4 linked regions of the Stegostoma tigrinum genome follow. The protein of the gene in region 4 purifies or fractionates together with the protein of the main gene of each other region. This does not show direct contact. Links are inferred from orthologs where the notes say so. Each region holds a gene or a part of one and is shown on either strand. Other genes may lie near its edges.

Evidence for each region.
Region 1: the proteins of lin37 (region 4) and mybl2b purify together in Homo sapiens (affinity purification with mass spectrometry; 6 studies listed by BioGRID and IntAct, counting the BioPlex papers as one, with this or other methods). This does not show direct contact. The link is inferred for Stegostoma tigrinum from reciprocal best matches to the Homo sapiens genes LIN37 and MYBL2.
Region 2: the proteins of lin37 (region 4) and e2f4 purify together in Homo sapiens (co-immunoprecipitation; 4 studies listed by BioGRID and IntAct, with this or other methods). This does not show direct contact. The link is inferred for Stegostoma tigrinum from reciprocal best matches to the Homo sapiens genes LIN37 and E2F4.
Region 3: the proteins of lin37 (region 4) and rbl2 purify together in Homo sapiens (affinity purification with western blotting; 5 studies listed by BioGRID and IntAct, with this or other methods). This does not show direct contact. The link is inferred for Stegostoma tigrinum from reciprocal best matches to the Homo sapiens genes LIN37 and RBL2.

Annotation. Positions count from the first base shown.
Region 1 is NC_081372.1:17,805,026-17,812,850, reverse strand, and holds the start of mybl2b (v-myb avian myeloblastosis viral oncogene homolog-like 2b), read right to left. Parts: upstream 3,011-7,825; 5' UTR 2,928-3,010; intron 2,922-2,927; exon of another isoform or gene 2,820-2,921; 5' UTR 2,743-2,819; coding exon 2,723-2,742; intron 454-2,722; coding exon 357-453; intron 1-356. UniProt on the Homo sapiens protein: Transcription factor involved in the regulation of cell survival, proliferation, and differentiation. Transactivates the expression of the CLU gene.
Region 2 is NC_081369.1:8,293,763-8,301,730, reverse strand, and holds the start of e2f4 (transcription factor E2F4), read right to left. Parts: upstream 3,020-7,968; 5' UTR 2,941-3,019; coding exon 2,824-2,940; intron 1-2,823. UniProt on the Homo sapiens protein: Transcription activator that binds DNA cooperatively with DP proteins through the E2 recognition site, 5'-TTTC[CG]CGC-3' found in the promoter region of a number of genes whose products are involved in cell cycle regulation or in DNA replication.
Region 3 is NC_081369.1:24,613,121-24,620,806, forward strand, and holds the start of rbl2 (retinoblastoma-like protein 2), read right to left. Parts: upstream 3,007-7,686; 5' UTR 2,847-3,006; coding exon 2,706-2,846; intron 1-2,705. UniProt on the Homo sapiens protein: Key regulator of entry into cell division. Directly involved in heterochromatin formation by maintaining overall chromatin structure and, in particular, that of constitutive heterochromatin by stabilizing histone methylation.
Region 4 is NC_081394.1:565,611-572,486, reverse strand, and holds the start of lin37 (protein lin-37 homolog), read right to left. Parts: upstream 3,003-6,876; 5' UTR 2,927-3,002; exon of another isoform or gene 2,805-2,926; intron 2,769-2,804; coding exon of another isoform or gene 2,755-2,768; exon of another isoform or gene 2,737-2,754; intron 1,250-2,736; 5' UTR 1,193-1,249; coding exon 1,138-1,192; intron 939-1,137; exon of another isoform or gene 596-938; coding exon of another isoform or gene 550-595; intron 226-549; coding exon 150-225; intron 1-149. Other genes in the region: proser3 (proline and serine-rich protein 3), read left to right, coding at 3,070-3,131, 5,996-6,098, 6,343-6,653.

The sequences.
Region 1 (7,825 bases), on a different chromosome or scaffold from region 4:
TTATGCCCTAAAATATTTGGCAACAATACTTGTTCCTAACTAGACAAGCTATGAAAAGTTTTAAAATGGTAAATTAGGAGTGAATTTTTGTATGTTTTAAATAATATCAATCCATGAGTTGAATTTCTATCCTATCTGGAAGCGTATCAATGAAAGATGCACCACAGTTCTGCAAATGCTCTGTATTTCAGATTCAAATGTAACTTCAAACATATCACATTGCACTTCAGTTGATATAAACATTTCTATTCTGAGAAACCAGGCGCTGGAGTTTTACAATGGGTGATTTTTTTAGGTGTATTTCTAATTTTGTTTTAAAAACAACACACACACGAATTTGGTTTCAAAGCAGATACCTCTTCCGCAGACCATTTGACTTTGAAGAACTTATTTGCATCTTTGTGATCCGGAATATCGTAATCCAAATCCTGTGAAGGTTCATCCAATTCTTCACTGCATGTACGTTTATGAAAAGAAAGCACATCATGAAGTAGAGAGATTCATGCAAGCATTCAATATGAGTTAGAGTTGAAACAGCAATCTGCAGAGTCAACTTAATTTGTGGAATAAGGAGGATCAAGTTTGTTAACTTTCGTGATTTATATTGAAGTCCACTCGGGTGTAATACTATGCTTTCTCCAAGTTTACAAGATAGAAACTTGTTTTCAACATGGACCAACATGTCACGTTTCTTTCTATTAGGGAAATACTCAAAATATACAATATCCTGACCAGCAAGGGGAGATAAAGCAGGCTCTAAAATTAAGTTCAGAAGGGAGGTGAAGAGGTCAACATATTTAGACTATACGAACTGATGCAAAAACAGCTCCCTGAAGATAGTACAGATATATGACCAAGAACAGATGGAATCTAGTCTGGTAGCAAATTGTAAACCCATTAAAAAAAAAGGGCAGTATGGTATCTCAGTGGTTAGCACTGCTACCTAATAGCATCAGGGGCGTAGATTTGATTTGACCCTCAAACAACATTATGTGGGGGTTTGCACATTCTCCCCATATTTGCATGGGTTTCTCCCACAATCCAAAGATGTACAGGTTAGGTAAAGTGGCCATTCTAAGATGCCCATAGTGTCCAGGTCTAGGCAGATTAGGCATAGGAAATGCTCGGTTGCAAGGATTAGTTAGAGGGTATGACATGGTCTTCAGAGGGTTGGTGTGGACTCAGTAGATCAAATGGTCTACTTCGACACTTTAGGGATTTTACAAAAAATATCTTGATGTTCTATGGGTCAACTTCTAAATTTTTAAGATTCAACAGCAGGAAAACCACACTCCTGTTATAGTCAAACACTAGTTTATGACTTGAAAAAGAATATGTTTGGGGAAGAAAATCCGTACAATATGATCAGTGTTTTCTGGATGACAGCAGCTTTTTCAAAAAAAAATCTATTTTCTGCTATAAAACAATACTTGTTAAGCGTTTCTACACAATTATTTTGTTAGCAATTTAATCAAAGGCCAACAAGACAAACTAAAAACAGTCTAATATCCTGATGTATTAAATCATTTCAAGACATAACATAATTATAAACCTTGCTGATGCAAGTTCACAACCATAAGCAAAAGTCTTGTTATCTTTCCACTAATTCTTTTTATTTAGAAAAACCAGCAATATGAAGTATCTTAAAACTTCCAGGCATCTGTGTCCCTGTTAAGTTTTTAAAGGAGGAGATAAAATGGTTGGACTTTCTTGGTTTTACAGTTACCATTTGTGTAGCGCTGTTCTGAACTTCAGGCAGTCCAAACGCTCTTCACAGTAAACATTTGAATCTGTTCACTGATAACATATAGGAAACAACGCAGCCAATATGCTCATTGCTAGGTCTCACAAACCGTCACATAACCATGAAAATAAAAAAACCAGAGTTGCCTAAACTGGAAAACAAAAGTTAAAAATTGCTGGAGAAACAAAGCAGGTCTAGCAGCATCTGTGAGGATAAAACAGAGTCAACGTTGCGAGTGACGAAGAAACGTTGACTCTGCCAAAGCTATTCAATTTCTTCAGCAATTTCCGTTTTGTACAAAGTGATGATTTTCAATCTTTTAGCACAAAACATCAAAGGATCGTTCAGGTCCACCCAGCGAAGATCCAATACTGCTGTATTTAGTAGCATTTAATAAATACTTAAGTCTCTAGGTTGAGACTTGAACCCATAACTTCTATGGTGAAAGGAGGCCAACACCTGGAATGGAAACTCACTAGAAAAATTTTCCGCTTTTAATTTAAATGGACAAAAAGAGGTTAAAAGGCAGGTTTCGTTACAGGTGCACACTTCTTTAGATATGGCAGCCAGCTAACTCAACATGCACAGAATGAACCAAAAGTCAACTTTTATTCCATACCCAGCCATTTCCAACACGTTTTAAGAGTTTGTAAATGCAATATAATCCCCACTTAAACGTAATTTGTCCCAGTTTTGAAGAATCCTCTATCTCAATAAACCTCTACAAATTAAAAGAAATATGGTTTTCTCCATTTCCTCCCGATGCAAGTTTACAAGCACATTATGAATTCACCGAAGCTCAGAAACGATCTCTCTCATTACTTTGTCAAAGACATGGAATGTTGCAAGCATTAATTATTCTTGGGGGTGGGGGACAGGATATCGCGTCCCACACATCGGGACGGCTGAGAGGGAAATCAAAGTGAGCTTTACCTATCTTTTTAAAACAAATCATCATCAAATCGGTCGGTCACTCACCATAAAGTCTTCTGAGCCATGGGGAGGGGAAAGAGGCCCACAAGGACTACCTCAGGGTCACTATGGCCTGGGAGTCGACCACCATCAAGCTGGGTAACTAGAAAAAGTAATAACCTTCTTCTTTTAAACAAAAAGAGGAAACAAAACTATCCAAACCGCCGTTCATACATCCGACAAAGATCTTGCACCTCACAAGTTAACGAACCTTTGTCTCCGACACTCTCCCGCTCCTACTCCAGCAAGCCGTTTCTTAAAACCCGCCAAATGCGCCGCTCTCGCTGGCCGCCGTCGCGCTTGCGCACTGGCTACGGCCACGCCCACTGGATCACCCGCCTCCCCTCTGGACACGCCCCCAAGGTCGGTGTGCCTCGCCCCCTCCCTACGCTCCGCACCATTACCCCGCGGGCTAACGTTCCATTTACAAATTGGGGCTTTGATTGTAATCTGTGCGGAGGGGTGAAGATTCATTGTGAAAAGAGAAACGAGAACTACCGCCCTATTTTTTTTACTTTGCGAGCCCAATCTCCCTGCTCCCTGTTGGACTTTAACATTAAGATTGTTTAGTTGGGGTTTTTTTGGCGGAATGCCAGAGATCATTGACGAAGTCGTCCGTCCCATTCCCGGGCCAACGTTCCATCTGGCGGGATGTGCGAAACAACGAACCGTTTCTACACCGCTCCTTCCTGAAAATGGGTCAACTTGTTTCACCAATGCGCACCTAAACAGACATTCCAGCACCTCTGCTAATGCAAAAGAAGGAAATCTTGCTTGTAAAGAGCAAACATATACATTGCAGAAGAAACTGAACAGGTCTGGCAGCATCTAGTAAGAGAAAGCAGTCGACTTTTCGAGTCCAGTGAACAGCCAGACCTCTTGAGTTTCTCTTGCACAAACAAAAACAGAAATTGCTGGAAAAGCACAGATGGGAAAGATGCTGTTCCTTTAATAATACCCTATCAATACGACCTTTCCAGTCTGCTTCATCCTCTCCTGTACAGCATCTGTGATGGCATGAGTCAGGCTCTGACTACACTCCTTCAAGGATCCAACATGCTAACCAATATCCAGAATGAAAAACCAGTTGGTGAACATGACCTACCTGCCTATGTCTTTTGGACCACCCGGTGATCACACATTGCCGGTCTGTCTCATGTCCTAACTTGTGCTCCAATTCTCTGAAGATGTTATCCAGTAGATCTTTGCATCTTGGATGTACCTCAGGTGACTCTAGCTGATGTTCAAGCTTAAAACCTAGAGCTAAAGCTGGTGCAGCCAGTGACTCTTCATTGCATGGGCACATCTAATTGATCAGAAGTAGTCATGATTGTCCACATGTCACAGGACATACATTCTGCTTGGATGAGCTGCCCTGGCATATGTTTAAAAACATGAACATGAGGCTAAAAGCAGAAGTAGGTCATTTAGCCCTTTGAGATCATTGCTGATCTGATAATCCTCAGCACCTCTTTCTTGGCTTTTCTTACTCCATAACCCATGATTCTGTTACTGATTGAAAATCTCTCAGCCTTGGGTTATTGACCCAGATTTGATAGCCCTCCGTGGTAAAGAATTCCACAGATTCACTACCCTACATTTTTCGAAATTACTGGAGTTGTAATGCAATCACTAACAGCAGTTACTCAACAACTAATTAACTCACCAATTTCCTATGATGTCACAGGCTGTGTTCTCTCATCCAAAGTGATGTTGAACTTATACATAGCAGTTATCACACCTCACCTGGGTGTACAATGGGACTTTGATCAAATGGGCTGCTGTCCTAAGGAGTGGCAGATGGGGTTTAATCTAAATAAATTTGAGGTGCTGCATTTTGAAAGGGCAAATCAGGGCAGGACTTATACACCTAATGGTGGGGTCCTGGGGAGTGTTGGTGGACAGAGACCTTGGCATGCAGGTTCATAGTTCCTCGAATGTGGAATCACAAATAGACTGGATAGTGAAGAAAGTAAAAACTGAAAGAACTGCGGGTGCTGTAAATCAGCAACAAAAACAAATTTGCTGGGAAAAGTCAGCAGGCCTGGCACATCTGTGAAGGAAAAAACAGAGTTAACATTTTGGGCCTAGTGACCCTTCCTCAGAAGTGAAGGTGGTGTTTGGTATGCTCACCTTTATTGGTTATTGCATTGAGTGTAGGAGTTGGGAGGTCATGTTGTGGTTGGACAGGACATTGATTAGGCTACTTTTGGAATACTGCATTCAGTTCTGGTCTCCCCACTACAGGAAAGACATTGTTAAATTTGAAAGGGCTCAGAAAAGATTTACAAGGATGTTACTGGAATTTGGAAGGTTTGAGCTAAAGGTAGAGGTTGAATAGGCTGGGGCTATTTTCCCTGGAGCATTGGAGGCAGAGAGGTGGTCTTATAGAAGTTTGAGGTTGTTGACTTGCTTACTGAGCTGACTGGTTATAATTCAGATATTTCATCACCATGCTAGGTAACATCATCAGTACGGCCTCCGATGAAGCGATGTTGTTCTACTCCACTAAGTATTTATATGATCCAGTCTGTTGAGGTGTTTTGTGTCATCTGTTTTTTTTTTCAAGGGTATTTAGACAGGGTCCATTTCCACATGTTTATTGATTGCATCATGAGTTGAGAACCAGGTATCTAGGAATTTCTATGTGTGTCTATAGCTAGGATGGTCACGTTGTCCCAGTTAAATTGATAGTCTTGATTGTCAGAATGCATATAGAAGTTTATAAAACCATGAGGGACATGGTTAGTGTGAATGTCCTTTTCCCACGGTAGGGGAGTCCAAAACTTGAGGGCATAGGTTTAAGGTGAGAGGGAAAAGACTTGAAAAGGGACCTAAGGGGCAGTGTTTTCACAGAGTGTGGTGATCATATGGAATGAACTGCCAGTGGAAGTGATGGAGGCTGGTACAGCTACAACACTGAAAAGGCATCTGGATGTGTACATGAATGGGAAGGGTTTAGAGAGGTATGAGCCAAATGCTGGCAAATAGGACTAGATTAATTTAGGATATCTGTTTGGCATGGAAAAGTTGGACCAAAGAGTTTGTTTCCATGCTGTATATATTTATGACTCCATCAAACAAAAAAATGTTGTCAAAGTGTTCTTGTTCTATGTTGGACATAAGAATTTTTTTTAAAGTCCATATTTGTTAGGAGCAAGGGCAAAATAAATGCAACAGTCTACATTTCTATTTAGTTTGGGGAGATCAAGTCATTGATTTGTACATGGGAGAATCACAATTGTCTACATGACCATGTGCAGGATGTACTTCCAGCTGCAGCAATTCAAGCTCTAGGTTTGGAGCTTGAGCAACAGTTGGGGGCAGTACAGTGCATTCACAAAGTCAAGGGGTTTGTGCGCAGCGCATTTTAAGGCAAGGTCACTCTGCAGCTTAAAAGAACTGCAGACAGAGAAGGTATGAGTAACTGCTGGACAAAAGACAGGGACCAGACAATAGATGAGAGGATTCCCAATTGCATATCATTTAGAAACTGATTTTCAGCCTTAGGACAAAGTGAGAGCGACACTTCCTCCATGGATGCCAGACAGAACCAAAGCTATGGCACTGTGAATGTTCCAGATGTTCAGGCTTGGGAAAGGAAGAATTGTGGAATGGATCTAATGTTAGGGGTTTAGTTAGGGGAAGAAGTAGACAGAAAGTTCTGTGATTGTAAATATGGCTCCAGGGCAGTGCCAGGATAAGAATGTCACAGAGAAGCGACAGTGTATTCAGAAAGGAGAGGATGAACTGTGCAAGGTTATGGTCCATTTTGGGCATAGGAAGAATGATAAGCAAAGTCGTGCAAGCAGACTTTATTGATTTAGGTAGAAAATTGAAAAGGAGGACTTGAAAAAGGTAGTTCTCAAAATTATTCCTGGAACCACTCAGTTGGGAGTAGTGGAATAGGAAGATAGAACAGATGAGTATATGGATGGAGATACTGTGCAGGAAGGAAGGCTTTAGATTGCTGAGGTACTAGGATCATTTAAAATCGGGGAAGTAGGACGGGTAACATCAGAACAGGAACAGGACCAACATTCCTGCAGGGAAGTTTGCTAATACTTTTATAGAGGATGGTATCCAAAAAAGTAGTTCTGAAGGGAGAGAAGCGAAGATGGAATTAGAAATTAAAATGCAGTTGAGTGAGTATGGAAGACTGAGGAAGCATATATGACAGTTCAACATTCCTGTTCATGGGGCTTTTAGGCAAGATAAATAAGGGAATAGAAGAGGAGAGATGATATCTTGGAAGGATCATTAAAAGACACCATAAGAATAGAAGAAACAGAGGAGACAAATACACTGTTGGGTACATACTATAGGCTCTCAAGCAGTCAAATTGGTCTTTCCCCAGTTTAGAAATTCTCCATATCTATTATAGCCACCATAAATCTAACTAAATTATGGTCACTCTCTCCAAAATGATTCCCCACTAGTGTTTTCCAACCATCTGGGCTCGTTTCCAGATATTAGGTCTATCTGGAAGACAGGAGGATTAAATACATAAAATTAAATGTGGGAATAATAAATGTAAATTATATGGTATTTTGACTGACCAAATATTATTGTGCAAGATAAGGGAGGGAATAAAAATCTTACATTACGTCTGAGAGAATTTTGTTTTTAAGCCAGAAAGCCCACAAGGCAGAGGAATGTTCTAGACGTAATGTCTGGAAATGAGCCCAGACGGGTGGAAAACACTAGTGGGGAATCATTTTGGAGAGAGTGACCATAATTTAGTTAGATTTATGGTAGCTCTAATGGATATGGATAATTTCTAAACTGGGGAAAAGACCAATTTTACTAAGACATGTTTTGACTCAAGTAGCTACTTGCAGATAAAACTGAGTGTTGACAGGCATTTCAAGGAGGACATTCTGTAGGCCCAGAAGACAGTCACAGCCCACAATAAATAAATAGCATTGGTCTTCATAATGGTATATAAATTTTAATTTGACTTCATTTCAGTCTCTCCCATCTCCGTGCATTTCTTCAGCTTGCTTCCTGCTGATTTAGCTTTTGTACGTCATTGGAGCTCATTAGATGAAGCGTTAGGGCATTGGCTGTGATTGTTACATTCCAGAAAAGTAGAGGGAAACAGCATGT
Region 2 (7,968 bases), on a different chromosome or scaffold from region 4:
AGGATAACACAGACAGGCTGTCACTAACAACAGCTTTGTTTTAGAATGATTGTAACACCAGAGACACAGGCAGGAAGAGGGAGGTGGGGGTGGGAACTGGGGCTATATATTGACAGATTCTCCAAACTGTGGACCAAACCTTCAAAGTCTCCACCCACCCCAGCCTCCAGGAATGACTGACAGGGGAATTCCCCAATCAGCTAGACTAGCTGCGAGCAATGTTCTCCCTCGATGTAGCCTTGCCGTTTTGTCCCTCACCGAGAGTGGAGAATCCTTTCGCATACTGCAGTGACCTGTTCCTAAAACCTGGGTGACATGCACTCTAATGGGACGGTATGAGATGGCTTATTGAACTGTGGGAGGAATCACGGCACAACGAGACGCTGACAGAGTCAGTAGTGGAAAGCCTCGGGATCCGAGTATCACAGTGCCACACTGGCAGGTGCTGCAGCCGGCAGGCTGACAGCAGCAACCGAAGGTCTGACCAACCACTGAACAGCTGAAACCACAAACCCATGACCAAAACCCAGGCCCAAGGAGAGGACACATGGTGACGGATAGCACTGGACTGGCTCAGTCACAGTTTCTTTAACTAAGTGGCCAAAGGTCAAGATCAATCATGAATCCAGCAGCAGCCTAAATCAAGAAGGACTTAAATAGGTTCACATCTTCTCCAAGATAGCAGCAATGGGAACTTTCTGATGCCAATGGGGTACTTCTCCCACCGTTTTCCTGAGCTCCACCCGAGATCTCAATCTGAAGCCGCACCCACCCTCTGCAATGTTAACACAAGGGAACAACTGTTATCTGTTAGCCCAGACTGATGGCAAGCTATTCGACAGTGTGAGCAGCATTTTAGAATTGCATGTCTTAATTAGATCTCTTCCATGTATCCCTTTCCCTCACAGGACACCCAGAGCGGTGACTGAAGCAAATACTTTAGGGCTGTCCTAACTGAGATGCAGTGGCTCAGCGCAGGATTAAACCCCTGACCTTTGGTTAACTGTGTGTGGCACTCAACAATGCACCTAGCTACTGAACCAGAGTGACCATGTGTGCTGTTGAACAGATTCCAGCATTGTCTCGGACTTTGCCAAACAGTGCTGCAAAACAAAGCTTTACCTGTGCGACTGCAGGAACAGTTATTACCCAGCGAATTTCAACAGTGACTCAGTGTGAATGGTCCCCGTAGCCACAGCAATGAATTCAGCAATAGGACACCTGCACACTTGATAGGGCTCCTCGGTCCTCTAGTACAATGTCATATAAAAGACAATATTCACCCTTACTGCCAATAATGAGAGAGAGGGGGAGACACCCGCACACACACAGTGGCAGAGAGGGACAGAGGGCTGTTGGGGGAGGGAGAACAGAGGTTGGGGGGGAAACAAATAAGTTCAGAGGTTGGGGGGGGTTAAAGGAAGGAGGGCTCAGGCAGAGGGGGGTGGCTGAGTGTGAACCGGGAGGGTGGCGGTGTTGAGGGACAGCAGGGGGTGGGGAACTGGGAGGTGGTGGTGGTGACATTGAGGGAGAGGTGGGGGGGCGTCAGAAGGAAATGTCAGGGGGTTGTCAAAGGGAAATGTGGGGGGGGTGGTCAGTGGAGAATGTGGTCAGTGAGAGGGGTGGTCAGTGGAGGAGGTGGGCGGCTTGGTCAGTGGGAAACATGGGGGGGGGGAGGTCAGAGGGGAATGTGAGGGGAGTGTGGTCAGTTGGGGAGGTGATCAGTGGGGACTGTGGCAGGGGAGTGGTCAGGGGGAATGTGGGGGGTGTAGTCAGTGGGGGAGGGAGAATGGTGAGTGGGAAATATGGCAGGGGACTGTGGCAAGGGAGTGGTCAGTTGGGGGGGTGGTCAGGGTGAATGTGGCAGGGGGTGGTCAGTGGGGAATGTGGGAGGCGGAATGGTCAGTGGGGGGGTGATCAGTGGGGAATGGTCAGTGGTGGGGCGGTCGGTAGGGAATGTGGCAGCGGGGTGATCAGTGGGGAATGTGGAATCGGAGTGGTCAGTGGGGGGTGGTCGGTAGGGAATGTGGCAGGGGAGTGGTCAGTGGGGAAGTTGGCAGCGGAGTGGTCAGTGGGGAAGGTGGCAGGGGAGTGGTCAGTGGAGGGTGGTCAGTGGGGAAGGTGGCAGGGGAGTGGTCAGTGGGGAAGGTGGCAGGGGAGTGGTCAGTGGGGGTGTGGTCAGTGGGGAAGGTGGCAGGGGAGTGGTCAGTGGGGAGCAGTCAGTGGGGAAGGTGGCAGAGGAGGGGTCAGTGGGGGGGTGGTCAGTGGGGAAGGTGGCGGGGAGGGGTCAGTGGGGAATGTGGCAGGGGAGTGGTCAGTGGGGAATGTGGCGGGGAGGGGTCAGTGGGGGGGTGGTCAGTGGGGAAGGTGGCAGGGGAGGGGTCAGTGGGGAATGTGGCGGGGAGGGGTCAGTGGGGGGGTGGTCAGTGGGGAATGTAGGGGGGTGGGGTAGCTGAGTAGGACGATACCAATGTGAATGATGGTGGGGGGTGGAAGCGGACGCGCTGCACCGGGAGGTTGAGCACGTGCTCTCCCGCAAACCCCCCTCCCCCCCGACCCCCAACCAAGGCCGCGCGGTGTCTCCGGTTTCGGAGGGGGGGGGGGGTTGTTCGGTGTCCAGCTGCCCCTCCCCTTTTAACACCCCCCCCCCGAAAAAAAATCGCTCCTCATTCCTCTCCCAGAGCCGGCGGAGTGTGTGTGTGTGTGTGTGTGCCGGCCTTTCGGTGCTCCTTACCCCCCCGGGGGGGGGGGGTGAATCCAACCCCACCCCCAGGGGCCGTGTACCCGCCCCCCCCCCCCGGATTAAACCCCCGCTCCCCTCACCACTTTCAGGTCGAGCACCCCGTCCTTGGCCTCCTGCAGCAGGGACACGAACTTGGTGGTGAGGAGTCCCAGGCTCTTCTCATGCCTGCTCGGAGTCTGCGGTAAGGCCTCGGCCATCTTCACCAACACACTCACTTTATTTCCTCACTCACTCACTCCCTCCCTCCCTCTATCCTTCTCTCTGTCTCTCTCGGTCGGTAGCCGTTAGCAGCGCGCAGCACGCCGGGACTGATTTGAACTGGGAGCAAACAGCAACACCCCCCCCCCCCGCCCCAACAAACAACCTCAAACCGGGCCCCGGCCAGGGACCGTCCTCAAACCTCCACCCTCTCCGCAAAGCGCAGACAGCCCCGGCCAGGGACCGTCCTCAAACCTCCACCCTCTCCGCAAAGCGCAGACAGCCCCGGCCAGGGACCGTCCTCAAACCTCCACCCTCTCCGCAAAGCGCAGACAGCCCCGGCCAGGGACCGTCCTCAAACCTCCACCCTCTCCGCAAAGCGCAGACAGCCCCGGCCAGGGACCGTCCTCAAACCTCCACCCTCTCCGCAAAGCGCAGACAGTCTCTTTCCCCCTCCCCCCCCCCCCCAATTCCAGGTCCCATCCAGGGAGCATCCTCAAACTGCCACCCTCTCTGCAAGCTGTCAACTGTCCCAGATCCCAGCAAGGGAGCGTCCTCAAACCCCACCCGTCCCCGCAAAGAGCAAACTGGCCCCCCCACCAGGGAGTGCCCCTAAACTGCCTCCCTCTGCGCAAAGCTCGAACAGCATGCCCCAGCCAGGGAGCATCCTCAAACAGTTGCCATCAAATGCAGTGGGCAAACAGCACCGACCACACCAAGGGACTGTTCTCAAATTGCCTCTCTCCCGGCAAAGTGCAAACAGGAGTACCAGTGAAGGAGTATCATCAAAACACCACACTTCCAGCAAAGCACAAACTGTGGCTCTCAGGCAGCATCTGCAAACTGCCACTTTGCCCACATGTCACAAAACCACCCAAGGAACATCTGCAAATCACTGAAATATCAAGAAATGCAAAACTTCCTGCTGCCTACCTCGGGGACCGTGTATTAAAAACATGCTCCCCAGAAACCACAAACCTGCCTGCCTTAGGAAGTGCCTTTAAACCCACACTCCTTCTGCAACCCTCCCATACCCTCCATAAAGTTTGGAACATTGGGGTGGGGTTAGGAAGCCATCTTCAACATCCAAGTTTGAAGGCTGTGAAATATTGATATGAAATAGGAATTGAGACCTGAGGTTTATCAGTCCTGATCTCATTGAAAGGCAGGGTAAGCTTGTGGTGCCAAATGTCTTCCTCCTGCTCCTTTTCCTTGTTTTTGAACAACAATGTTCCGAATGAAAGAAGATTTCGGCTCAGCTGCCCAAACCCCTCCACCAATCTCCCTCCAAGGTCTTCTGCCAACCACCTTCATTCCACATTTGTCATGTTTTGGGGAGGTGGTGGCTTCATTCTATCGTCACTGGTAATCCAAAGACCTGTGTTAAAGCATTGTGAAGCGTGGGTTCAAGTCTCATGTCAGATGGTGAATTTTTAGTTCTGTGACTAAATCAAAAACTAGTCTAATAGTAATTATGAAACCACTAGCAATTGTCATCAAAAACCATCAGGTCCTAAAATGGCCTTAAAAAATGAAAATCTGCCACTAGTATGACCTGAATGCCATTCGAACTTTGCTTGTAGCCATAGTAGCCTCTCAATTGTATCAAACTGCTACAAAGCCTAAAAGAAAGGAATAAAAACAAAAGCATTGACCAAGCGTCGGAAACAATAATAATACCCACAGCCCTGTTGTCCCGAAAAAGTCCTCCTTATTAACAGATCTAGCAACTTAAAACTGCAAATGAAGTGCTATCAATCATCATCAGCTGAACTGTATTTAACCAGAATCTGTTATCTAATGGCCCAGTGTGTCCCCCACTGTACTATTGCCAAACAACTCCATAATCAAACCTGGTTCAATGAGGAGTACAGGTGGACATGTCTAGAACCAGTACCAGGCATACCTCAAAATGATATGTTAACCTGGTCAAACTACAACACAGGACAACTTGCAGGCTAAACAGCAATAGAGAGAGCTAAGGATCCCACAACCCAATGAATCATAGCTAAATGTTGCAGTCCTACCCTATGCAGTCATGAGCAACATGGACAATTAAACAACTGAAAAGAGAAGGATCCACAAATTGTCTGTGATGGAGGTGCCTTCCACGTTAAATCAAAAGACAAGATAGAATTACTGTCAACCATGTTTAGCCAGAAGACCTGAGTGGATGATCCATCTCAGCCTCCTCCTGAAATCCTGAATATTACAGATTCCAGGCTTTAGTCAGTGCACTCCATGCGGTATCAAGGTACAGTTGGAGATGTTGGACACTGTGAAGATCATGGACCTTGACAATATTCCAGCAATGTTACCACAGACTTGCTCTGCTATGTTCCTAAACATGCTGCCCTTGTACAGTTACAACATTGGCATCGTCCCAATAATGTGGAAAATTGCCTGTGCCTGTCCTGTGCACAAAAGCACAGGACAATCCTACCTGGCCAATTACCACCTCAGCAAACTGTTGGAAGCTTCTGTCTGTCATGTTATTAAGTGACACTTAAGTCAACGATAACCTGCCACTACCAACATCCTTGTGGTTACCATTGATGAGAAGCTGAACTGGACTAGCTGTAGAAATGGAAAAAGAACTGCAGATGCTGGAGTCGGAGCGAATACAGTGTGGAGCTGGAGGAACACAGCAGGTCAGGCAGCATCAGAGGAACAGGAAAGATCCTGATGAAGGGTGTAAACCCAAAATGCCGACTTTCCTGCTCATCTGATGCTGCCTGACTTGCTGCGTTCCTTCAGCTCCACATGTATTGACTAACAGTAGAATTGCTATGTCAACAAGAAGTGGTCAGAGACTAGGAATTCTGTGGCCGCTAACTCAGATCTCAGATACTGTCTCCCTCTACAAGGCACAAGTCAGGAGTGTGATGGAATACTCTGTGCTTGATTGGATGCGAACAGCTCCAATAAAACTGAAGAAGCTTAACACCATCCAGGATAAAGTGGCCCGCTTGATTGGCACTCCATCTAACACCTCCAATATTCACTCCTTCCATCATCAATGCACAATGGCAGCAAGTGCACAAGATGCACTGGAAATATTCTCTAAGGCTCCGTTAATAGCTCCTTCCTGACCTTCCACCTCAGAGGTCAAGGCGAGCAGAAACATCAGGCCCCAAAATGACTTTCTCTCTCAAATGTGGATGTTCACTGTTTGATGCACAATGATCAATTCCATTCACAACTCCATGGACATGAAGCAGTCTGTGCCTGCGTGCATCAAAGTATGCTGAACAATTAGAAACCAGACAACCGTCCAATTGGTGAGAGCTTTACTTTCAGTTTAAAAGAGTAGATGGAGCATTACTCACTATGTGCTGTGCCTGTCCAAGAAGCATTTGATGAAGACAGTGTTAAGAGACATTAACTTTCTGTTTTAAAAAAGTAGAGTAAGCTTTACTCTATATTGAACTCTATGCTGTACTTGCTTTGGAATGTTTGATGAGGACAGTGTAGACAAAGCTTTACTCTGCTGCTAGTCCCTATGCTGTCCCTATCCTGGGAGAGTTTAATGGAGACAGTGTAGAAAGACCTTTATTTTCAGCTTTCTTTCCATTTAAAAGATTTGAAGGAACTTTACTCACTGTCAAACTCTGCGTTGAACTTGACCTGGGAGTTTTTGATGAGGACAACGTGGAGAGAACTATACTTCCAGTTTAAAAGAGTAGAGGAGCTTTACAGTGTTGGCAAAGATCTGTAGCTCGGGTTGTGGGTGGGGTTATTGACTTGCTCACCGAGCTGGCTTGTTCTCATTCAGACGTTTCGTCATCATGCTTGGTGACATCATCAGTGAGGCCTCTGGGGAAGTGATGTTGTTCTACTCCACTTGGAATTTATACTGTCCGGTCCATTGTGGTGAGTACTGTCATTTCCAGGTTTGATCTGTATGGGCTTGTATATGGGGTCCAACTCTATATGTTTGTTGATTGAAGTATGGGTGGAGAACCGTGCCTCTAGGAATTCCCATGCATGTCTATGTTTGGCTTGGGCTACTACGGTTACATTGTCCCAATTAAACTGATGGCCTTCACTGTCTGAGGGTACTGATATGAAGGAAAGTTCATCATGTCATTTTGCTGCCAGCTGACCTTAACCTATTCTGATGGCTTTGCAACGCTGCACAGTACCTGTCCTGGAAGTGTTTGATGGGGAAAAAGAACAACTGTGCAAGGTAGTAGCCATCTCCAACACCAACGAGTCCAACCACTCCATCATAATTTTCAACAGTATCATGATCACTGGATTATCTTCTATTGCCATTCTGGAGAGGTGGGGGAGTTTGGTCGATGTTTATTGACCAGAAACTAAGCTGGACCAGCCTTATAAACATAGAGGCCACAACAGCAATTGAGGCAAGAAATACCCTCCTGACTCTCCAAACCCATCTTGGAACTACGATGTTGTGGCCATTACAAAAACTTGGGTAATTCAGCAACAGGAATGGTTGTTGGACGTTTTGGGATTTAGATGCTTTAAAAGAAATAGGAAGGGTGGAAAAAGAGGTGTGGGAGTGGCATTGCTAGTCAGGGCTAGTACAGCAGCTACTGAAAGGCAGTTCGAGAATGATAGGTCTACAAAGTCAGTTTGGGCTGAGGTCCTGAACAAGAAAGGAGCAGTCACTTTGTTGGGGGTTTTTTACAGACCCGTTAATAGTTGCAGAGAAGTGGAGGAGTGGATTGGGAGGCAGATACTGGAAAGGTGTAGAGGTCACAGAGTTATGGTCAAGGGTGACTTCAATTTTCCAAATATTGATTGGAAACATTTTAGTTGTAATAGTTCAGATGGAGCAGATTTTCTCCAGTGCATTCAGGAAGGATTCCTGACACAGTATGTAGATAGACCAACACGAGGAGAGGCCACTTTGGATTTGGTGCTTGGCAATGAACCGGGCCAAGTGTTAGACCTGTTGGTAGGAGAGCATTTTGATGGTAGTGGTCATAGCTCTGTTACTTTTACAATAGTCATGGAAAAGGATTGGTACATACAGCAGGGTAAGGTTTATAATTGGG
Region 3 (7,686 bases), on a different chromosome or scaffold from region 4:
ATTTCCCAAAAGTGCCCTAACCAATGTCCTGTCCCACCTATGCTCAATGTGCTGAGCAATAAAGGCAAGCATACCAAACTCCTGCTTCTGTCTACCTGCAACTCTGTTTTCAAGGAACTATCAAGCTGTACTCCAACGTCTCTTTCTGCAGCTGGTAGGCAGGAATTTGTAAATTATGTTGGAATATTTCAGACATTTGTAAATATAGCAAGGGCCTAGATTTCAAGTTATGGGAATAAGGGAAGTGAAAAATATTTTAATGGGAGCAAAATAAAATATTTTCAATCTTTTGCTGATTGCTGTCAGAAAACATGTGTTCAAGCTCAAGCATGTGTTAATTTCAGATAGACAGGCTGACAGAGGAGAAATGGCTGTCAGATGAATCCATGAATAGTGTCAGTGTCAATCACTAAGGAGCAACTTGTCAATACGGGAAAAGGTAGGCAAGAATATAGCCAAAAAATGTTCTGCAGAGATAACGGTTGAGGTGGTAGAAAATCCAGTGCTGTGGCTGACACTGAACAGGTGGTCTTGTGAACATAGGCTACAAAGAAATACGTGTGAGAGAGGTGATGAATTGGGCCGATTGTGTCAAACACAATGGATACATCATGGTGTGCAACATTTATGTTTGCATACCTTAATTAGAAAGGTTGGCATTGTTGACACATCAGAAATCAGGCAGAAAAGAGAGGAAGTGAATTGTCGGAGTGTTGAGCACGATGCTGGGAAATAACAATAATGAGGGATCTTTGACAGGAACGGAGGCACCAATTGTTGGGAATCCCTAATTTTAAAAAAATCTTACGTAGCTGTGTTTTCCATCTACTTTAACGAGGGCCTCATAAATCAGCAAGTTTGGTGTTAGACTCTGGAGATGTTGATTACAAGGATCTCTAGTATACAAACATACAAATCAAGGAACTCGTAGTTCCCTAGGCCATCCAGCCCTTTAAGCCTACTCCACCATTCAATAAGATCATGGCTGACCTCATTTTGACTTCAACTGTTTTTCTGCAAACCCCCAATAATCTTCCAACCCCTTGGAAATTAAGAATCTACCTACCTTAAAAATATTTCAAGGTTCTGCATCAACTGACTTTTGAGGAAGAGAATTCCAAAGTCTCTCAGACCTCAGAGAAAAATGTTTTTCACATCTGTCTTAAATGGTCAACATTTTATTCTTAAACTATGATCACTAATTCTAGATTCTCCCACAAGAGGAAACATCCTTTCCACATCCACCTGGTCAAGTCCCCTCAGGATCTTATATGTTTCAATTAAGTCACCTCTGACCTTTCTAAACTCCAGAGGATGCAAGTTTAGCTTGTCTCAGCCTTCCTCAAAAGACAATTCATTCATTCCAGGTGTGGGTCAAGTCAAACCTTCTCTGAACTGCTTCCAACACGTTGAAATCCGTCTACAAGCACGGTGACCAGTACTGTACACAGTACTCCAAATGTGGTCTCACCAATGCCCTGTATAACTGAAGTACAACCTCTCCATTCTTGCATCCAACTGATCTTTGCAACAAAACATAACTTTTCAACATTTAAAGCACATAAAGGTTACAAAAATATGTTGAGAGAAACACAGAGTCTTTAATGTCAATGTTGTATGAATAATTACAACAGACAATCTAAGAGATAAATCGAAAACATTGTCAAAGGCAAGAATGCAATCACTGACAATCAGAATCATAATCGGAAGGCTGCTGATTGACCTTCCAATACCATGGTTTCAGCATATGACAGAGTGATAGATTCGGACAAGACTGATTTGGATTTGTACATCATTTGACCATTGGGTGAGGCAGAGGTCCTGTCTGAATTTCTACCTAGGCTGCAAAAACAAAAATGTAATTACTGTTTGTGAAACCTGACGTCGCAACAAACAAGTGAACACATTTCAACAGAAACTGATTGGCTGTTAAGTGATTTGAATATCCCAAAAACATGGAGGGCACGATTTTTAAAAAAGTTATTTATTTCAAACTACAGTAAGAGTAAGACACGGGGTCATAGTTAATCTGACAGGATGCTAGGTATCGCAAAATAATTTGTTCGCGGTTAACACTCAGGGCACTCCTAATTGGGGTACTTGGTGCGTAAACAGTGGCATTGATGGAGAAACTGTTGAATGTTTTGGTTGCCTGATTGGCCTTTCTTATCTCCGCATATGTCAAATTCACAGCATACATTGGCGAGACGCTCTTCCGGTGCTTCCTCTTGCAACTGAAGGCTCAGTTGTTTACGTGGACGGTTTGAAACTTTGCTTTTGGCAAGGTGGGCCGGGCAAGGCACTGCTGAACGAGAATGTGCAGGTTTCTCGAACTGGAGCGAGGACCTTAAACTACTTTAAATGGCAGCGCCGAAGGGCAGGCCTGCCCCTGTTCTGCAAGGTTTAGCATCAGCAACAAACCCGCTCAGCCCGTCGTGAAAATTAAAAACAAAACAGGCAAAACATTAACTTTCAAACGAATTGATTGCAATAGCCTGATGTATGTATTCCTTGTACGCTGAATTCCAATGTTTCAAACTAATGTACACGCAATGAATTACCTCTGACCCTTCCCCTCCCCCTCAGCTGTCAGTGGGTACTTATTTACTCGCGGATGTCACCTCGGGTACACGCCCCCTTATAGTCAGGCAGCTTCCACTGTGTCTCTCTCTCTCACCCTCTGCCCCACACCCTGTCATACTCACCTCCAGGGTGTATGTCCTGCTGATGCTCTCGAAACTTGCCCAAGCCTCACATTTTGCACCCTCGTCCATGTTCAATTTCTGACAAAGTTCCTCAAACCTCTGCCAGGTCCGGCAGCCGCCCTGCTCGTCCTCGCTGGCCATGGTGGCTGGTGAGCAGGAATGGCCGGTCGGGTTGTGGGTTAGTGGAAGTGCTGCTGCAGGAGTAGCAGTTGCAGAAATACCGCTGTCGCTGTCCCCGGGAGGGCTCAGGCAGCGCTCGCGGGCCGCACTGTAGCCATTTAAAAGCCGCTTGATTGACAGCCCAACGTCCCGCCCTTGCCACCGTCTGATTGGTCTGCCCAGCTGCCCGTCGGAACGTTCGATTGTTGCCTCCTGATCGTTAAGTGGCCGCGCGGCCACGTCAATCACAGCGCTTCCTGGGTTAGGCCCTGCCTACTCCTTGCCCAGTACCTGGCAAAGCACAGTGCAGGCTTTGGCGGGGGGGGGCTGCTCTTACAGGGTACCAGCTGCCAGCCTAGTACTGGGAAAGAAATCGCAAGGGAGGGGAACATGACCTCCACATCGCAGAGAGCATGCAGAGGAGATTTAATAGAAAGATTTGGAGGGAATCAATAAACACCCATTCTGCTCAACCCCTCCTAAGAAACTTCCTTCATACCCAATATTAAACTAATAAACCTTCCCTGGACTGTCACCAATGCCAGATATCTTTTGTTAGACAAGAGAACCAAACCTGTTCACAGTATTTCAGGTTTAGATTGACAGGTGCCTTGTAAAAATTGTAGCAACCATTTTACACTCCATTCCCTTTGGAATAAAGGCTTGAATTCCATTTGCCTTCCCTATACTCATTGAACTTGGATGCTAACTTTCTGTGATACATACATCAACACTCCTGAATCCCTCTGTGCTGCAACTTTCTGCAATCTTTTCCCATTAAATAACATTTGCATTTCTATTCTTCCTGTCAATGTAAAACCTCTCAAAATTTCCCACATTATATTGTATTTACCAATTCTTTTGCCCGCTTGGTTAACCGGTTTATATCCTCTTGCAGACTGTTTGTGTCATCCTCATCATTTGTGTTCCCTTCTCTTGTGTCATCTGCAAACGTGGTGATATTACGTTCACTTTCTTCATCCAAGTTATTAAAGGTTTGTAAATAATTATGGCCCTAACACAGATCCTTGCATTTTTCCAATAGTTACACATTACCATCCTGAAAAAGACTTTTATCCAAAATCTCAATTTACGATTAGTTACCCAAACCTCCATCCATGCTAATATAGTACCACCAATATCATGACCTCTTATTAAATAGCCTAGTGTGTGGTACCTTTTCAAAAAGGTTTTGGAAATCCAGTAAGTATTTAATCCCCTGATTTTCCTATATCTATTTGGCTTGTTCCCTCTTTAAAAAATTCTAATGAATTTGACAGGGATTTCCCTTTCATGAAGCCATTATAGACTCTGCTTGATTATACTATGTATTTCCAAATGCTCTGCTATTACTTACTTTATAATAGATTCTAATATTTTCCCAATGACAAATGTTAAGCTAACTGGTATATAGTTAGCTTTTTTTTTCTGTCTCTGGTTCATTTCGAATAAGGGTGTGGCCTTTCCAATCTACTGATACTTTTCCCAAATCTGAAGCTAGTTATTGTTAACCATTCCATCTGTAACTTGGTTCTGGCAAAATCACAGCTTCCTTCCAGGGTTTGACACATTTGGTAAATCCAAATTATACAATATGCTGAGATATATTCTTTTGCTTGGGCAGGAACCCAGTTATTTCTTTCAGCTTTGTATCTCCTAGCTGACAGCATGACTACTTGCCCTTCCCCTAAAGTTGAACAGTCAGGTAAATATTTACCAGATGTTTATTTTGGCCCAATTCAAGAATGTACTGCTGACCCCAAGGTGTTTTCTGGATCAAATGAATTGTGGCACAGTTGGTGGAGCTAACAACAGCATCGCTGCTTCCCCAGCAAACCAACCAACCAGATGGACAGGCATCATCTTAAAATATTGTTGTCAGATGAAGCTATTTTAAAACAAGAGCATTGAGCAAATTGACAGAGTGGCAGGTATATCTTGGTACACCTGAAGGTCACAGACCAGCTGAATAATCATGAACTGGACTCATTTCCTTTCCATATATGATGCTGTCTCCAAGGGGATTCTTCTTGTAATGTCACTTATCAATAGCACACTGTTCTCTGGGGAAACCAGTCACATTGTAGAAAACTACATTGTAACAAGGGCCATTGACATCTAGATGTATTCTGCTGCATTTGCAACACTGTTTAGCTTTGCGCTGTAGACCGAGACACATTGCAAATGCCTGCACTAACAACTTCAAAGGATCCAGACGCGTAGCAGCCTAAGACTGTGGGATCTTCAGAAAAAGCCACAAAGCAAATACTTCCTGTGCAGTCACAACAATGTTGTTTCTTTAATTCAGCTACTCCTATTTCTACATGGTGATCAGCTATTGATATTCAGTGGGAAGTGGATAATTGAATATTTCAACATTTGAGAGTTTAAGTCGTTTGGGACAGATGACTGATTCTTCCTAAACGATAATGCTAACATTATATCATGTGGATATTGGAGGCTGACTCACTGATAATGGAAGGAAGAATTAATGACAATTAGATATCACCTAGAACTGCATCCAGTCAATGGTGCTGGTCTTATTTAGGTAATTAATGTGCTGCCCAAAACAATCCAAGAAAGAAGCCATTGCACATGGCACCATAATGTTAACATCTTGTTTATATCCATCCCTGTATCCTCTAGTGGATGACTACTTCTCTGAGGTTATACAATGGCTAGCAGAAACTACTGTAATGCACTCAGGAATTCTGCTGTCTTGCTACACAATCTGCACTAAAATGTGTCTCACCACAAGCAAACCATATTTTCAATCTATTGGCCTTAGCCCAGTTGCTAGCACTCCGGATTTTAAGTCAGAAAGTTGTGGAACAAAGTCTTGTTCTAAGCATTGGGCACAAAAATCAAGTCTGACATTTCAGTGCAGTACTGAAGGAATGTTGCACTAGAGAGTCAGCCTCGAAAAACCACTCAGTATATTCTGAAGCGGAGTACAAGAAATATCACAAAACAGATTATTTAGTCGTTATAAAATTGTGGTTTGTTTGAGTTTGTGGTGCATAAATTGGCTTCTGTGTTTTATTCATTATAACAGCATTTAATTGGGTATAAAGCACTTTACAGAGTCCTGTGGCCATGAATTATGTTGTAGAGATGCATGACTTTCAAAATTAGAAATGATAGTAAAGTTGCCATAGTCCTCAGACTATAGGGCTGCTCTCTCATTCGAGACAAGTGGTGGTGGTTTAACGTGAGGTCACCATGCCTCAGGTGAGGGGAGAAGTTGAGAAGGACAGTCTTTCATGGTAACCTCAGCTAGTGCAGAAATTGAACACATTGTTTAAGTCACTCTGCATAGCAAACCAGCCATGACATCCTTCTGAATGTATCATGTAAATCCAGTTTTCCTAACATGATGTTGAATGACTTGCACTTAAACTGGCATGAAACCATGAAAAATGATGAGGTGATGCCACAATAGCTACCCTGAAGTAAAACATCTTCAAAATATACATCCACTCCTTGCTTTTAAAGATGCAATATTTAATTCTTAATCACAGTAAATTGTCTATCTGTACTTCTAACCTGTATATGGTCTTTTTGCGGTTATTCACAATCTTACTACTTTTGTTTCATCACCAATTTCAACTTACAAATCAGCTGTATATATGAGAAAGAAAATAGAGAAATAATCCCTATGGTACACCACTTCTAGCCTTGAAAGCCACAGCATGGATTTTTGTGGTCAGCAGGAAAGTGACAACATTTGTTGCTGACTTTGATGAATTACCCACTAAGATAGTCATAGAAGTCTGTAGCACAGAAAAAGGCCCTTCAGCCCATTGCTTCTGCACCAGCCAGATCTAACCATCCAAAGTGAATTTCAACTTCCCTGACATTAAGCTTTATTCTGATGTCAGCTATGGTGGTGGTAGGGAAGGGATGATGCCTTTTGTATGGCAGTGATGTCACCAACCAACCTAAACAGTGAATCAAATTCAAGAATTCTCACAGACAGCAAACCCACTAATTATCCTTCAATTTTTAATAGTCTAAAAGAGATCAAAATAAAAATTGAGACATACGCATGGAGTTAGAATAAAAGCTGAAGTGTCAAATGTTAAAAACAATTTAATTAATAAATAATAATGACTCATGGTCTTTAGTTCAAAGGGATTTGAGGGCAGAAATAAAAATCTTGTTACATTGTACAGTACCATATCTAGAATACAGCACAGAGTTTGGTCTCTGTATTTAAGGACTGCTTACATTAGAGGTGTTACAGTGAATGTTCACTAAATTAATCCCTGGGATAAGAGGATGTTCATATGTTGAGAAGCTAAGTGAATTGTGTCTGTATTCTCTAGATTTTAGATGACAGTCGATCTAATTGAAACATACAAGATTCTAGGGGCTCAGTAGAAGATACGGAGAGATTATTTATTTCCTGCAAAATAATGTGTGACATATCGCTGGATAGGCTTCATTTATTGCCATCCCTAACTCTCTTGAGAAGGCAGTGGCACACATTTTTGAACTGCAGCAGTTCCTAGAACAGAGAATGGTACAGTCCAGGAAACGGGCCCTTTGGCACAACACTACCCCCACCCACCCATCATATCTCCAGTTACCACAATGCCAATCTGCCTATATATGGTCCATGTTTTTCTCTTCCCTGACTGTTTATGTGTTTTTCTACATGCCTCCTACCATCCTCCGTGTAAAATACTTGCCTCGTACATCTCTTTTAAACTCCCCCACCCCCGACCTTTAATCTATGACCCTAGTATTTAACATTTCTGCACTGGGAGAAAGACTCAGACTATCCACCTTATGTACACCTCACATCATTTTATATACT
Region 4 (6,876 bases):
CACAGATGCTACCAGATCTACTGAACTTTTCCAGCAACTTTGTTTTTGTTCCCGATTTACAGCATCCACAGTTCTTTTGGTTTTTATTTAGAGATCAATGGCAATGTCCAAGTGAATTAGTCCAAATCAAAGGAAAACTAAACACTTACCTCTCAATATCACTCTTCTCAACCAGACACTGGAGGACTGCATCTAAACGATTACGAGCTGTCGAAGCCTCAAGATCTGCAACTCACAGAAACCATGTAAGAGACTAAACTTTGTTACACAAAGGAATAAGTAAACAGGGTACCAAGAGAGTGCAGCGCTGTTGGACGGTCAGCGCTGAGGAAATTTTCCATTGCAACAGAGTCCTCACTTCAAAAAAGGAAGCCTTTCATTAGCTACACAGATTGTCCTGAGCTGGTGACAGTAAGAACAGGGGTCTTTTTATTTCTCTGCCCTCACAAACCTTTCCAAACACTTTCCTGCTGCAGAGCTACTATTTCAGTCCTTGCTCTTGCTCCTAGCCACCGACTAACTCTAGGGGTCTAGAGCTGCCTCCCTTACCTGGCCTGTTCCCCTGTTCTGTCTGTTCTAATGCAGATTTAGCCATCGCTCAGCACCACCACCTGCTGAGTAGAAGCAATGCTGCAGCAGTGAAAAATTCACCACCTCCTCCTTCACAGGAACAGGAGACCAGATTGCCCCTCCTCAAGCCTGCAGCACAGGAACAGCAGAATGCCAGTCAGCCCCCTCCTCGAGCCTGTAGCACAGGAACAGGAGGAGACCAGTCAGCATCCTCCATGCAATTGTCTCAATGAACCAAAAATTGCTGTGCATACCAAGAGAGAGGTCCTGAATTTCCTTCCTCTCATTCTCTCTAACCTCCTCACCGTCTCACGTGGATCGAGCCGGGATTTGGACAGAGTGTCCCTTCTTCTGAACTCTCTGCTCCCCTGCAGAAGAAACAGTTTCACTCTGTCATCCTATTTGAATGTTTAAACCTTATCTTCGGTACTGGAGGGAGACCATACTTGCTGAACTTGAAACACAGAATAAATTCAGGGTGAGGGAGTCATGATGGGGAAGGAAAGGGATAAGGAATGATGAAGAGATAGGAGCCAGCACCGAGAAGGGCAGTTAGTTCAAGCCTACCTGCTTTTTCAGTTTTCACGGTAACTGAAATCATGTTACTGCTGTGGGGCCTCATTCACACGATGGAAATAGGCAAGCAATCGCCACAAAGACCAACAGCACTCAAACAGACCTGTGACAGAGAGAATCAATCCCAACAGCCAGCATTACTGAGTAACAGTGTGAGACAATGGGATTACCATCAACAGAGATACAGTCAGTAACACCGGGCTCTGGGAGGGTGTGTCACTGAGTGTGAGGGAGAGGGATTAACATCAGTATGGATACAGTCAGTAACACAGCATTCTGTGGGAAGAGGGGTTACTGAGTGACTGTGAGGGAGTGGGATGAACAACAGAAGGAATACAGTCAGTTACACAGGGTTCTGGGGGGAAGAGGGGTTACTGAGTGACAGTGTGAGGGAGTGGGATTAACATCAGTAGGGATACAGTCAGTAACACAGGGCGCTGGGGGCGGGGGGAAGAGGGGTTACTGAGTGACAGTGTGAGGGAGAGGGATTAACATCAGTAGGGATACAGTCAGTAACACAGGGCGCTGGGGGGGAGAGGGGTTACTGAGTGACAGTGTGAGGGAGAGGGATTAACATCAGTAGGGATACAGTCAGTAACACAGGGCGCTGGGGGGGAGAGGGGTTACTGAGTGACAGTGTGAGGGAGAGGGATTAACATCAGTAGGGATACAGTCAGTAACACAGGGCGCTGGGGGGGGGGGGAAAGAGGGGTTACTGAGTGACAGTGTGAGGGAGAGGGATTAACATCAGTAGGGATACAGTCAGTAACACAGGGCGCTGGGGGGGAGAGGGGTTACTGAGTGACAGTGTGAGGGAGAGGGATTAACATCAGTAGGGATACAGTCAGTAACACAGGGCGCTGGAGGGGAGAGGGGTTACTGAGTGACAGTGTGAGGGAGAGGGATTAACATCAGTAGGGATACAGTCAGTAACACAGGGCCCTGGGGGGGGGAGAGGGGTTACTGAGTGACAGTGTGAGGGAGAGGGATTAACATCAGTAGGGATACAGCCAGTAACACAGGGTTCTGGGGGTGGAGTGTTGTTAATGAGTGAATCCCCTGACCCCCCAGCTCATCCTCACCTCCCTAACCTGTTCTTCCTCTCACCAATCCCCATCTCAAGTGCCATCTCCACTGCCTACCTCCTAACCTCATCCCCACCCCCTTGACCTGACCATCCTCCCCAGACTGACCTATCCCCTCCCTTCTCCCCACCTACACTCACCTCTGCAGGCTCCATCCCTCCCCCTTTAACTTGTCTGTCTCCTCCACCTATCTTCTCCTCTATCTTCGGTCCACCTCCCCCTCTCTCCCTATGTATTTCAGAACCCTCTCTCCATCTCCCTTTTCTGATGAAGGGTCCAGGCCAGAAATGCCAGCTTTTGCCCTCCTGAGACGCTGCTTGACCTACTGTGTCCATCCAGCCCCACACTTTGTTATCTCACACTCTCCAGCATCTGCACTTCCTATTATCTCGCTCCCAACAGACGTCATGCCCGTCCTCACGCTCTATTGGCTGCCAAACCGTCTGTCAAGCCACTAGTCCCACCTCCTGCCGGCCCCCTATAAGGCCCGCCCCTTGGCGGGGCCGTTAAAGGCGGCGGGAAAATGGAGGATTTGCCGTAGGTTGCTGCTAGTCTTATTCATCGGTTTCCCCCCCCCCCCCGCCTCCGTGGTGGTGATAACGCTGGTAGTTTATTCCCTCCCTTTGACGATAATTATAGTTTTATAGTTTTACATTAATTGTGTTGTCATTTAACACTACCTACGTCAGACTGACCTGAAGCTCCGGCTCCGACGGCCCTCCTTGTTTTTACGTCAATTCTCATCCCATCCTGTCACGCGGTACCGTTCCTGTTTCCTATTGGCTGTAGCCCTGTCCGTCTTGTATCTAGCCCCGCCCTCCACCTGGCGTCCAATGAGATGTGCCCCGCCTCCTCCGTGACCGTTGAAGGCGGCGGGAAAATGGAGGATTCCAAGTGGAGGTGAATCAAAGAGGGTCTGAAGTGTTATACAGCATAGCCCTCGGTTTATAGTATTTAATTAGAGAGAAACAGTTCAAAGTAATTAGCAATTTTCAATGTTACATGATTATTAATGTAGTGACCGCACTATATAATGTACAGATAGAGTGGAGCTGATTCAGAGGTTACCAATCATATATAACGCCATGTGTATAATATTTAATTCGTGTGTAAATTAATCATAGATTATTAGTGTTATATAACGTAATCATCATTCTTAATATAATCACATCACTATAATATAGAGACATTTGGGTTGAAACAGATTCTCAATATTATTATATGCTCATTCTTATATGAATAATATAGCACCATGTATGTGTGTATATATATATGTCTATATATGTATAGGTGTGTGTGTGCGTGTGTATATGTATTTTATATATATATAGGGATATATATATATATATATATATATATACACACTGCACAATTAGAGAGAGAGAGACAGTAGAAGCTGATCAGAGGTTATCAATAATATATAATTAGAGAGAGTAGAAGTTAATCAGAGATTAATAATGTTATGTAACATAATCATGGGTATAAATATAATTGTATGGTATAGGACAGAGTGGGGTTGGATCAGCTTCTCAATAATATTGTATACTCATTCTTGTTCATATCAATAATATAACATCACGTAATACTATACAATTAGAGAGACAGACAGAAGTTAATCAGTCATTGAGTATTGTGTAGCCATCTTCCTTATGTAATGACAACACTATATTGTAGAGACAGTGGAGCTTAATCAGAGGGTAGCAATCATATCATATAACACCATGTATATAATATTTAACTACAAACTGTGACATAGCACAATTAACCAGATATTTTTAATAGTTTATAACCATCACTTAATGTAATTAGACTATTATATACTGTAGAAAAGAGTGGAGGTGAATCAGAGGTTATTAATATTGGGTCAGTTCTCATTGGAGAGAAGGAGGCTACGAAGGGATTTAATAGAGACATACAAGATGATCAGAGGATTAGACAGGGTGGACAGTGAGAGTCTTTTTCCGAGGATGATGACTTCAGCTTATACAAGGGGGCATAGCTACAAATTGAGGGGTGATAGATTTAAGACAGATGTCAGAGGCAGGTTCTTTACTCAGAGAGTGGTAAGGATGTGGAACGCCCTGCCTGCCAATGTAGTTAACTCAGCCACATGAGGGGCATTTAAACAGTCCTTGGATAAGCATATGGATAATGATGGGATAGTGTGGGGGCAGGGGCTTAGATTAGTTCACAGGTCGGCGCAACATCGAGGGCCGAAGGGCCTGTTCTGCGCTGTATTGTTCTATGTTCTCTGTTCTAATATTGTGATCATGTAAGCATTATTCTTCACATAATGAAAGCACTCATCTAGAAATGGAGTGGAGGTGAATCAGAGATTGTCAATAATATATAATCATTCTTAATCATATAATCAATAACATAACACCATGTATATACCATACAGTTAGAGAGAGAGAGATAGCCTAGAAGTTATTCAGAGGTGTAAACAATAGGAAATGCGATTAGTAAGTTTGTAGATGATGCCAAAATTGGAGATGTAGTGGACAGTGAAGAAGGTTACCTCACAGTACAACAGGATCTTGATGAGATAGGCCAGGGAGTGGGAGATGAGTTTAATTTTGACAAATGAGGTGTTGCATTTTGGACAGACAAATCAGAGCAGCACTTATACACTTAATGATAAGGTCCTGGGGAGTGTGCTGAACCAAGAGACCTTGAGGAGCAGGCTCATATTTCCCTGAAGGCGGAGTCGCAGGTAGACAGGTTGGTGGAGAAGGTATTTGGTATGCTTGCCTTTACTCCTTTGAGTAAAGGAGTTGGGAGGGTCAGATTGCGGCTGCACAGGACGTTGGTTAGGGCCACTTTTGGAATGCTGTGTGCAGTTCTGGTCTCCCTGCTATAGGAAAATGTTGTGAAACTTGAGAGGGTTCAGAAAAGATTTACAAGGATGTTGCTACCAGGCTGGGGCTATTTTCCCTGAAGCCTCAGAGGCTTAGGGGGTTACCTTATTGATGTTTATAAAATTCTGAGGGGCATGGATAAGGTGAAAAGGCACTGTCTTGTCACTGGGGTCGGGGAGTCCAAAACTAAATGGCATAGGTTTGAGGTGAGAGAGGAAAGATTGAAAAGGGACTAAAGGAGCAGCTTTTCCAGTCAGAAGGTGGTGCATGTATGGAATAAGCTCCCAAAGAAAGTGGGGGAGGCCGATACAATTACAATATTTAAAAGGCATGATTAGAAAAGGTTAGATGGATATGATCCAAATGCTGGCAAATTGAATTAGATTAATTTAGGATGTCTGGTCAGCATGGACAAATCACACCAAAGGATCTGTTTCCATACTGTACAACTCTGACTCTATGACCAATGAGATAATCTCACAATGTAATACTATGTTTATAAATATATAATCAAAGAGACAGAGTAGAAGTGAGTCAGTGATTATCAATAATATAATCACAAAGTATAACACTGTATAATCTGAGAGTCAGAGTAGGGGTGAATCAGATTATTAATATTAACATATTTAAGACATAATCAGACGGAGATAATCAGGGAGAACTAGTCAGAAACGGACGGTGGGGGAGAGAGAGAGAGAGAGAGAGAGTCAGAGACAACAGACTCAGACACGTGGAGTGACACAGTTTTGGAGTGGTGTGAGAGGGCCATTTCTCTCTCAGTTTCAGGATTGGTATCAGTGATCAGTTTTGGGGTTTCCGTGAACATCACAGTGTTGGTAAATGGTTTTTAAGCTGTCAGTAAAGCCACTGATTCTGATTGTCTTTTTTCCATCTGTCTGACAGCTCTGTGTTTAGTCCAGGAAACCCTTTTGGACAATCTCAGCTCTCCCGCAGTCACTACCACCCATCCTCTCCCCAAAGGATACCTCAGCAGCAGGGCAAAAAGGTGAGACTAGGGTTGGCATTGTTAGGAGCACAGGCCAGGTTGAAGGGGTTAGAATATTGCAAGCTCATCCTTCTGGTTTAATGCTGGCCTTGACTATCAACCAGACTACCGCTCTCTTTGCCAGCCTCAAGTGTAAGAACAGAGACCTGTCTACCTGGGGAAGCACCTGACAACATGCTGCAGAGGAGGGGTACGTACTGAGGAAGTGCCGTGTTTAATGACTCAGTTATGTCTCACCTTCCAGGTAGTGAAACCAGGTCAGTGCCAGCTGCCTAGACCATCGCTTCCAACAGAACCTCCTCTGGCCTCTCAGGATGCTCCGAGACAAACTGACCAGCCGGTGTGCCAGGGTGAAGGGACAGATGCTGGGATAGCTAGCCCCTTGGTGGAGTCTTGGCCATCCACCGAGAGCAGCTCTCTCCTGACGCCTGAAGGAGAGCCAGGAAGCGAGGCAAGGGTAGGGTCCACAGCAGAATCGCAGGAGATGTTCCGTACAGACCAGGGTTGGTCAGGAAGTCCACAGGCTGACCCAGCGGAGAGTTCAATTATCGCAAAGTGAGTGACAACACCACCAACTTCACAGTCAGCCAACCGCTCCTCACTGGCATAATGTGACGAGTCCCAAGATAGAGAGTGGATAGGAGCAAGGATCTGCTCTTTACACTCTCTATCCTCGGACTCGTCAGATGGGCTGGATGGAACCATGCTGTTAGTCGCAATAATTTACACGTTATAGTTTCCAGTTGGCTTTAGCTATGTTAGACAGGTCATCTTTGCT